2 linked regions of the Rattus norvegicus genome follow. The protein of the gene in region 1 purifies or fractionates together with the protein of each later gene. This does not show direct contact. Links are inferred from orthologs where the notes say so. Each region holds a gene or a part of one and is shown on either strand. Other genes may lie near its edges.

Evidence for each region. Proteins that work in one complex are often made in the same cells at the same time.
Region 2: the proteins of Junb (region 1) and Atf3 purify together in Homo sapiens (affinity purification with mass spectrometry; 3 studies listed by BioGRID and IntAct, counting the BioPlex papers as one, with this or other methods). This does not show direct contact. The link is inferred for Rattus norvegicus from reciprocal best matches to the Homo sapiens genes JUNB and ATF3.

The regions. Positions count from the first base shown.
Region 1 is NC_086037.1:40,079,458-40,083,784, reverse strand, and holds Junb (transcription factor JunB), read right to left. Parts: upstream 2,660-4,327; 5' UTR 2,390-2,659; coding exon 1,355-2,389; 3' UTR 875-1,354; downstream 1-874. UniProt on the Homo sapiens protein: Transcription factor involved in regulating gene activity following the primary growth factor response. Binds to the DNA sequence 5'-TGA[GC]TCA-3'.
Region 2 is NC_086031.1:105,281,354-105,285,990, forward strand, and holds the end of Atf3 (cyclic AMP-dependent transcription factor ATF-3), read right to left. Parts: intron 3,896-4,637; coding exon 3,788-3,895; intron 2,470-3,787; coding exon 2,272-2,469; 3' UTR 1,084-2,271; downstream 1-1,083.

The DNA of each region.
Region 1 (4,327 bases):
GCCCATTCCCTCTACTACTGAATTTTTCCTCTGCTTCACCTGAGTGGCACGGTTTCCCTTGCGCTGGAGTCTTCCAGCTTCACGGCCACCCAGATCCCACCAGCAACCAGTGGCTTTGAACCTCCAGCACCTCAAGAGTTGTGGCGACGCCCAGCTGCCCAAACAACTGCCCGGACAGGACCAGACCTGGCAGTCGCCGACTTCTGGCCTGGCACAAGGGAGGGGGACACTGGCGGGCGGGCGCCGCCCTTCCTGGCGGGAGCAGCCCTGACGGCGTCTGTAACTACAGGGAGGCTGCAGTTACTCTCCGCCAGGGTCGGTCCAATGGAGGGGGCGTGGGCGCGGCGGGGCTCAGGCGCCAGCCTGTTAAAAGCCGCTCGGGTGGCTCCCAGGGCTCCGGAGAGCACAGCCCTCCCACCGCGGGCGCCCTGGACCCCGGCCTGGGGCTTTCCGCGCCCAGAAAGCCGCCTGCCCGGGAAAATCCCGGCCCCCTTCCCGGCGCCGCGGCCCTGCCCGGCAGAGAAGGGGGAGGGGATTCCCGGAATCTGCCCGGAGACCGCGCTGGCGTCACTGAGCTGAATAGGCCCATATATGGGCAGCGCTTCCGTAACGTCAGCGGGGAAAGCCCCGGCGCACGGGGCTGGGCGGGGCCGTGCTTGCACATTCCGGGTTTTGTCCTGGGCCTGGATAGCTTGTTCTCGGCCACTGCCTGCCTGCGCAGCGTCTGGTGCCAGGACTCAGGGGATGGGAGGTTTGAGCGCTTGTACTGGACCTTAAGATACCCGAAAGGAGAGAACTACAAACTGCCCCGGGCTTGGGGCAGCCCAATCTTCTCCCTCCATCCGCCCAGCTTGGAAGAAAGAGACCACAGAAATTAATAAAGACTTTTTTTTTACTTAAATAGATTCAATAAAAAGTCAAACACACACACAAACACATCTTAAAATAGACTTTAGACACGAAGTGCGTGTTTCTTCTCCACAGTACTGTGCAGAGGGGGAGGGCAGGGGGCGGAGGTTCCTCCCTAGTATCCCCACAGGCTGAGTACCAGGCGGCGGGGCCAGCTCCGCCGCGACAACCCCCTTCTCCCCTCCCTGTTAAATACACAAATATATTATATTCAATATGAATTCAGTCTCTTTCCAGAAAAAAAAAACATACAAAATACGCTGGAAGGGGGCCATGTAAACCTCGAGGTGGAAGGACTGGGCGCAGGCGGGCAGGCCAGAGTCCAGTGTGTGAGCTGCGCCCCAGACCTCTGGGCGAGTGCCCATCGCCTGCCCCCCTCACCCCAGTGGGGGGCGGGCGCCCAGCCTTCAAGGCTGGGGGTGTCCGTATGGAGCAAGGGAGGCTCTCAGAAGGCGTGTCCCTTGACCCCTAGCAGCAACTGGCAGCCGTTGCTGACGTGGGTCATGACCTTCTGCTTGAGCTGCGCCACTTGCTCCCGTAGGAGGCCGGCAGTACTTGACAGCCCCGCGTTCTCAGCCTTGAGTGTCTTCACCTTGTCCTCCAGGCGCGCGATGCGCTCCAGCTTCCGCTTCCGGCATTTGGTGGCCGCCAGCCTGTTCCGCAGCCGCTTTCGCTCCACTTTGATGCGCTCCTGGTCTTCCATGTTGATGGGGGACACAGGCGGCGTGGCGTCGCGGCTGCGTGCCTCCGGTACGGTCTGCGGTTCCTCTTTAAAGGCGGAAGCGCCGCGACTCAAGCCCAGCTGCGCCGGGTGGCCGCCCGCAAAGGGTGGTGCATGTGGGAGGTAGCTGATGGTGGCCGTCGGGTATGAGCTCCCAGTCCCGACGGCGGTCCCGGAACCTCCAGAGGGTGCAGAGGCTGGGGAGTAACTGCTGAGGTTGGTGTAGACCGGAGGCGGCTCCGGACCAGCATAGACGCCCCCAGGCCCGGCCTGGGGACCCCCGCTGGCGCCCAGAGACACGTTGGGGGGCGTCACGTGGTTCATCTTGTGCAGGTCGTCCAGGGCTTTGACAAAACCGTCCGCAAAGCCCTCCTGCTCCTCGGTGACGCCGCCCCCTGTACCTCCGCCGCTGCCGCCCCCACGGGGGTAAAAGTACTGTCCCGGAGGCGTGGGCGTCGTCGTGATCACGCCGTTGCTGTTGGGGACGATCAAGCGCTCCAGTTCCGTGGAGGCTAGCTTCAGAGATGCGCCTGTGTCTGATCCCTGACCCGAAAAGTAGCTGCCTGCCCCACTGCCCTCTGGGCCTGGACCCCGCGCCCCAGGACCCTTGAGACCCCGATAAGGATCTGCCAGGTTGAGCGCTAAGGTGGGTTTCAGGAGTTTGTAGTCGTGAAGAGAAAGACTGCCAGGGCTCCGACCGTATCCTGCCGCTGCGTATGAGTCGTCGTGATAGAAAGGCTGTTCCATTTTCGTGCACATCCGGGCGGCCTGGGCGATCTGGGAAAGGTCCCCCTGAAGGGCCGCTCCGGGCCTCGCTGCGGCGACCGGCGAGCTGTCCTCGGCTGTGGCGGGACCCGGCGTCCGGTCGCGCGTCCTCGGGAGCTGGAGACGGTCGGCAGCGGCCAGTTGGTAGCTGTGCGTAAAAGCGCTGCCCGGCTTCTGGAGCTTTTCTCTCCCTCCGTGGTGCGCCCGCTTTCTCAGCGTCTCTTCTCTCAGCTCCCCGCTCCCTGCAGGATCCAAAGCTGGCCTGGCCACCCTCAAGGTCCCCAGTGTTCGGCCCCAGCCCCAAGCTTTTATACTGAATTTGTCAGCTGCGGAAGTGCACTCCGATTGGCCGACGCGGGAGCCAGGCCCCCGCGGCCCCCTCCTAGAGCGTGGGGAAGGGGAGGAGGCGGCTCGCGTCACTGTCAGGAAGCGCGTGTCCTTGTAAACAGCGGCCACGAGCCCGGTGGCTCTGCGCGGCTGCAGGGGGAGGGGCTGTAGAGACAGAGACACTCAAGCAAAGGGATGTTGAGGGACCGAGGCACATAGGAGTTAGGACTGCGGGAGTACAACCCGGTGGCTATGAGATCTCTGTACACTGCAAGTGGAGATGGGGTGCCTCAGGATATACCCGGAATAGTCTCGCGGGACCCACAATAGCTGTGACTTGTGAACTGACAATATACTAGAAGACCCCAGAAAACAGGGAAGGTACAAAACGGGAGCAATTGTTAACATTTGACCTAGGAATTAACTAGAGGCCCCGAGTGCAAAGTGCTTAAAGAACAGGTGGGAGAGAAGGTTCAGGAAGCAGGGTCAGGTACCTATTGTATAAGAAATGAGTAGGGGCTCTAAAGCCCACAGATGAGTCTGAGGGTTCTCCCATAAGTGGAAAAGGGGAGTAATTTTGGGGAGGTCAATTTAGATATGCAGAAAGTGAACAAGGGTCCTGGAAACGCTGAGGCAATAGGAGTAGAAGATGGGAACATATCTAGCAAAGATTGGGGTCACTGTGATTATTTGCAGAACTCTGATGGAAAGTTAAAATGGTCAGGACATGGCTTCCTTCTGAGCTGTAAAGGCGATGCCAGGAGGGTATCTGAGATCTACCCGAGAGGACGACTTGGAGGATCCCAGAGACAAGGGGCTTGTAAGAATGAGACTGTACCTCGTAAGTGGTCTCTAGGCACTGACATACCCTGTACCTGAGTCCAAAGCCTCCCCTTAGTCACTCTGGGCTCGCCCGATATCCTGTCAGCTTTTGGAGGGCCGAAGAGGCGGGATAGCTGGGGTGCGGTCGCCCAACCCCACTCCCTTCCTTAGAAACAGGCTAGGGAAAAAGAGCCGAGGCAGGAAGTGTGGCAATAGCCCGGAGGGGGAAAGAGCCCGGCCCTGTCTCGTCATTCTGAGCCTAAGGGTTGGTGCACCCTAGCCTGGGCCTGCCAAATTCTGCGCCTGGGAAGAGGAACCCCAGCGAGCGACCCCTGGGGAAGTCACAATCCAGCTGAGTACGCCTCTAGTCATAGTCTACTCTCCCCCCATCTAGAAATGGTTCAGCTTGCAACCTTGGGCGATTACTAGGCCTGGCAGCCGAGGACTGTTCCATTGGCCCGCTGGAGGGGGATGAAGCCTGGGAGCGGGGCCTCGTCACCAAGGCAACAGGCTGGAGTCCGTGAATTGGATTGGGGGCGGGGCAAACCCCCCGAATTTCTCTCCCCAGCATCCATATTAGGGCACAGGAAGAGGTGGTACCAGTGCAGTCTTGGGGCGGCAAACTAGGAGCCAGGAACCCGAGGTATTTGCCAGGTCCCAGGGCGCGCCAGGGCCCCGGGACGGCTAGTCCAGACCAGCCTCCACCGCCACCCCCGGGCTCCCCCGCCTCCCGGCGGCCTGGCCCAGCCCCTCGGAACAGCTCTGGGGCTGAGCCCTGTCCCG
Region 2 (4,637 bases), on another chromosome or scaffold:
ATTCCAAGCTGTTCTCTTTAGCGCACATATGCCCCATCTGCTTCCAAACTAAACACAATTTGTAAAAATCTCTCAAGCTAAAAAAAAAAAAAAAAAGGGCTGGAGATATGGCTCAAAGTTAAGAGCACTGACTGCTCTTCCAGAGTCCTGAGTTCAATTCCCAGCAACCACATGGTGGCTCACAAACACTTGTAATAGGATCTGATGCCCTCTTCTGGTGTGTCTGAAGACAGCTACAGTGTACTTATATAATAAATAAATCTTTTAAAAAAAAAGTGCATGTCTTAGGTGTATTTCTGTGTTCAGAGAAACTGGCGGCTGAACTACTTAGCAGTTTGGATTCTATATCAAAATTCTATCATAAGCCAGGCATGGTGGTGCACCCCTTTGAACCAGCATTCCGGAGGCAGATCAGCGAACGGTCTGGCCTGTGTACTCTGTTCCAGGTCACCTAGGGCTACATACTGAGACCCTGACTCAAAGCAAACGAAAATCTATCTTAGCACCAAACAGGTGGCTTGAAGGACACACCTGTAGCGTTGTTTCGGGGTTTGTCAATGAGAGGCACGGAGTGGGAAGTCACCCACCTGGGCTGCAGAGCTGGCTCAGTATTTAAGAGCTCTTCTGGTCTCTGTGGGCAACTGCATTCATGTACACCACACACACACACACACACACACACACACACACACACACACACACACACACGATTATAAATAAAAATAAATGGAGGTGGTGAGATGGATCAGCAGTTAACAACAGTACTTGGTGCTCTCGGGGAAGATCTGGGTTCCGTTCCCAGCAACTACATGGTAGCTTGCAACCCCTCTGAAACCCCAGTTCCAGGGAACCCAATGCCCTCCTCTTCTGGCCTCCCCAGGCACTGCATGCACGTGGCACACAGACATACATGCAGACAAAATACCCATACACATAAAATATGAATTACTAACTGCCCTACCTAGTGGTCTCCCCATGAACGAAGGAAGCCATCCGTCCCCAAACACTCAGTGCTGACCACCCCATGACAGAAAGGCATCATCACCATTTCAACACTCAGCAGAAACCAGTGCCACGCTAAGGTTTACCAGGTCTCATTCTGATATTTTATTACGTTGACAGGCTAGGAATACTGGGATAAATAAGTAACGTTCTCTCTTACAGAAAACTGTAATATACTACTGAGTCGGATTGAACACTGAGGATTTCACAGAAACATCAGAATTTTAACAGTAGCCAGAGCCCTGGTGGCCAGTGGGAGGGACCTCCCAGCTGAAATACTCTGGACCGCATCTCAAAATAGCTTCAAGACAAAAGCGCAGTTAACATCCCACAGTGCAGACACCTTCCTTGCCCCACTCCTGGCTTCAAATACCAGTCTCCACGGGCTGTGGTTTTTGGTGGGAAGGAAGGGAAAACGGAGAATCCTTGGCTCTTCCTGCCCTGTCACTGAGTGTGGAGTCCTACGCCCTTTGAAAGCGGGACTTTGTGCCTTCGTTCTGTGACATTGTAACAGTTTGTAGCCAAGGACAGCTGCTGTGCCCGGGTTCTTCCTCAGCAGTGGGTACAGGGGAAGGAGGCATCAGTCCTCGGTCAGCACAGAGTAGCACAGCTGGTCATCAGCCAGTTTACATGGCCACCCAAACACTTTTGGGGGATATTGTCCACAGTGGCAGACCCCCAAACTCTCGGAAATCAGGTCTGATGAAACTCCCGGAAAAAAATCACGCCAATGTTGTGCAAGACAAACATCTAAATAGCACAACACCAGGCTCAGAAATGAATGCCCTATGCACAGTCAGTCTAGGACAGAACAGCATAGTTTCTAGAAAGCATACCCTGGCCATTGGACAACTTCAATGATGAATGTTCTCACTCCATCTTCCCTAGGAGGGATGTTGTCAGCCGCAGTGGAGGACGTGGTCCCACCCCACCTGTCAAGGTAGACACTTCTGCCTGCATCCCATTAGTGCGATCCTGCTTTGCATGGGACCCCAGCCTGGGGCCAGCTAGGTCATCTGAGAATGGCCGGGATGGTAAGGCCTAAATCCTGGAGCCGGTGAGACAAAGGATGCTCCTGCCTGCTCCACGGTTCACTCGGGGACAGAGTGGGACAACGCAGTAGTCACCGCAGGCCCTCCTGACCCAACAGCTCGTGGCTGCTGAGATTCTAGAAGTGCACAGGAAGCCAGTTTTCCAATGGCTTCAGGGTTTGGGGTGGAAAAGGAGGATTCAGTAAGGACTCCCCAATTGCCCCCATGCCACCTCTGCTTAGCTCTGCAATGTTCCTTCTTTTATCTGTTGGATAAAAAGGTTCCTCTCGTCTTCCGGCGTCCGCCCGTTCTGAGCCCGGACGATACACGTGGGCCGGTGCAGGTTGAGCATGTAAATCAGATGCTGCTTCTCATTCTTCAGCTCCTCGATCTGGGCCTTCAGTTCGGCATTCACACTCTCCAGTTTCTCTGACTCCTGAGGGATGATCAACAGACAGCAGCATTATGGAGGGAGCCAAGGGGCAGGGAGATGGGGGGCCACCTGGAATCCTTGGGGCTCCCCAGACTGAGACCTGCTAGCAGAACCGTCCTACCACAAGGATGGGAGGACCAAACTAGGTGGAAGGTGGAAGGTACAGGGTTTCCTGTAGAGGGCTCTGAAGTTGGGAGACGTGAAAGAAAGCTTAGGGACAGCACCGAGCCGGGCGCCCATGCTCGATGGAACTGCACCAAGGGCTCAGAGAGAGCTGCTCTAGTTCACTGCCCGTGGGGAAGGCATCTGGGCCCCACAGGATCGTGGGAGCTATCGAGGAACCCAAACGGGTGGTGTGGAGTTGTCTTTGAATTTCTGATCTCACCAAGACTCCCATGTCCACAGACGTATTCTCAGAAACACCAAAGCTGCCCAAGTTTTTTTTCACTGACCCTGAAGTAGCGAGCAGACAACCCAGGCTTTTACATCTCTTTGAGAAGCTGCCCTGCACACACTTGGGAGAGCAGACATGGCCCCTGCAAAGACTTCCAGGCTCTGTAGCTTGCCTTGCCTGTGAACCCATGCTGTACCCCTGGTGCTTGGTGTGGGGTGTCAGCCTCCCAGGGTGCTCAGTGCTGGATAAGCATGGAGTAGAGAGGAGGGTTCAGATCCAGGGAGGAGCACTGTAAGCACCACTTCAGCACCGTAACTTGAAGAGATTAATGCAAGCTTTTCCTGAGAGCCAAAGGCAGTGGCAGGGCTTTGCAGTTTGTATTTGTTAAAACTGATGAGTAAAGTCTCTTTAAATAGGCTGGTGTGACCCGCAAGTCTAGAAACTGCTGGGGATTTGTGCCACAGCATGCATGTGGAGGTCAGAGGTCACGTTTAGAAACCAGTTCTCTCCTTCCACAGCGGGTTCTGGGTGTCAAACTAGGGTGCCACATATGCATTGCAAGGACCTTTACTCATGAGCCAGCTTGCTGGCCGTGTGTGTGTGTGTGTGTGTGTGTGTGTGTGTGTGTGTATGTGTATGTATATATAAATGGATATATATATACACATATGCCTATACATGTGTGTGTATGTATGTGTACACATATACATCTCCAGAATCGCTTCCACCATGCTTTTTTTTTTTTCCTTCGGAGCTGGGGACCGAACTCAGGGCCTTGTGCTTGCTAGGCAAGCGCTCTACCACTGAGCTAAATCCCCAACACCCCCCTCCCCCCCTGCTTCCACCTTGCTAATAGCTTTGCTCTACCCTCTGCCTACAGCTGGCATTTCCCTCCCCTCAGGGGAGGTTGGGCCAGGCGGGACTCACCTTCTGCAGGCACTCTGTCTTCTCTTTTTTCTTGTTTCGACACTTGGCAGCAGCAATTTTGTTTCTTTCCCGCCGCCTCCTTTTTCTCTCATCTTCTTCAGGGGCCACCTATAAAATCCGAAAGGCACACATTTAAATACCAAGGCTGTGGGGTCTTGTGTGCTGTGGGGTCTTGTGTGTCTGTATATCTGCTGTCTGTGTATATATCTGCCACGTGCATTCATGGTGATTTCAGAGACCAGAAGTCAGTGTTGGATCATCAGCAGCTGCTGTGAGCCACCCATTGCACATGCTGGGAGCTCCAGTCCCCTGGAAGAGCGGGAAGTGCTCTTAACCACGGCGCCATCTCTCCGGCCTCGGGCCTGAGGGTTTTGTATGATCTCCCGTCACACGCATGTGCATTCACACATGTGAGTAACAAAATCTAAGTCCTGTTCAGTAAAATGGAATTATATTTGAAATTAGTAAATTAAAGTCTGCTTTAAAGACACAAGACCTGCCTTTAAAATGCATTTGCACTTTGAAACAAGAATTTGAATTTTAAATTAATAACCACTGAATTAATTAACCACTGAAGCTAGAATCAGAAATGACCACATTGCCCCTTAGCCACACTCTCCTGAGAGCGGTGCTGTTTGAGGAGGTTGTGGAACCTTTGGGGTGGGAAACATGACTGACAAGGGTGGATTGTGGCATAAAATGGGTGTTGGAGGGTTTGAACTCCAAGCCTACTTTATCTATCTGAGCTTTGCTTCTTGAGCTAAAAAGATGTATACAGGCCCTCACCACCGGGCATAAGCCCTTACCTGAGCACCAGCCCTCACCACTGGACACAAGCCCTCACCACTGA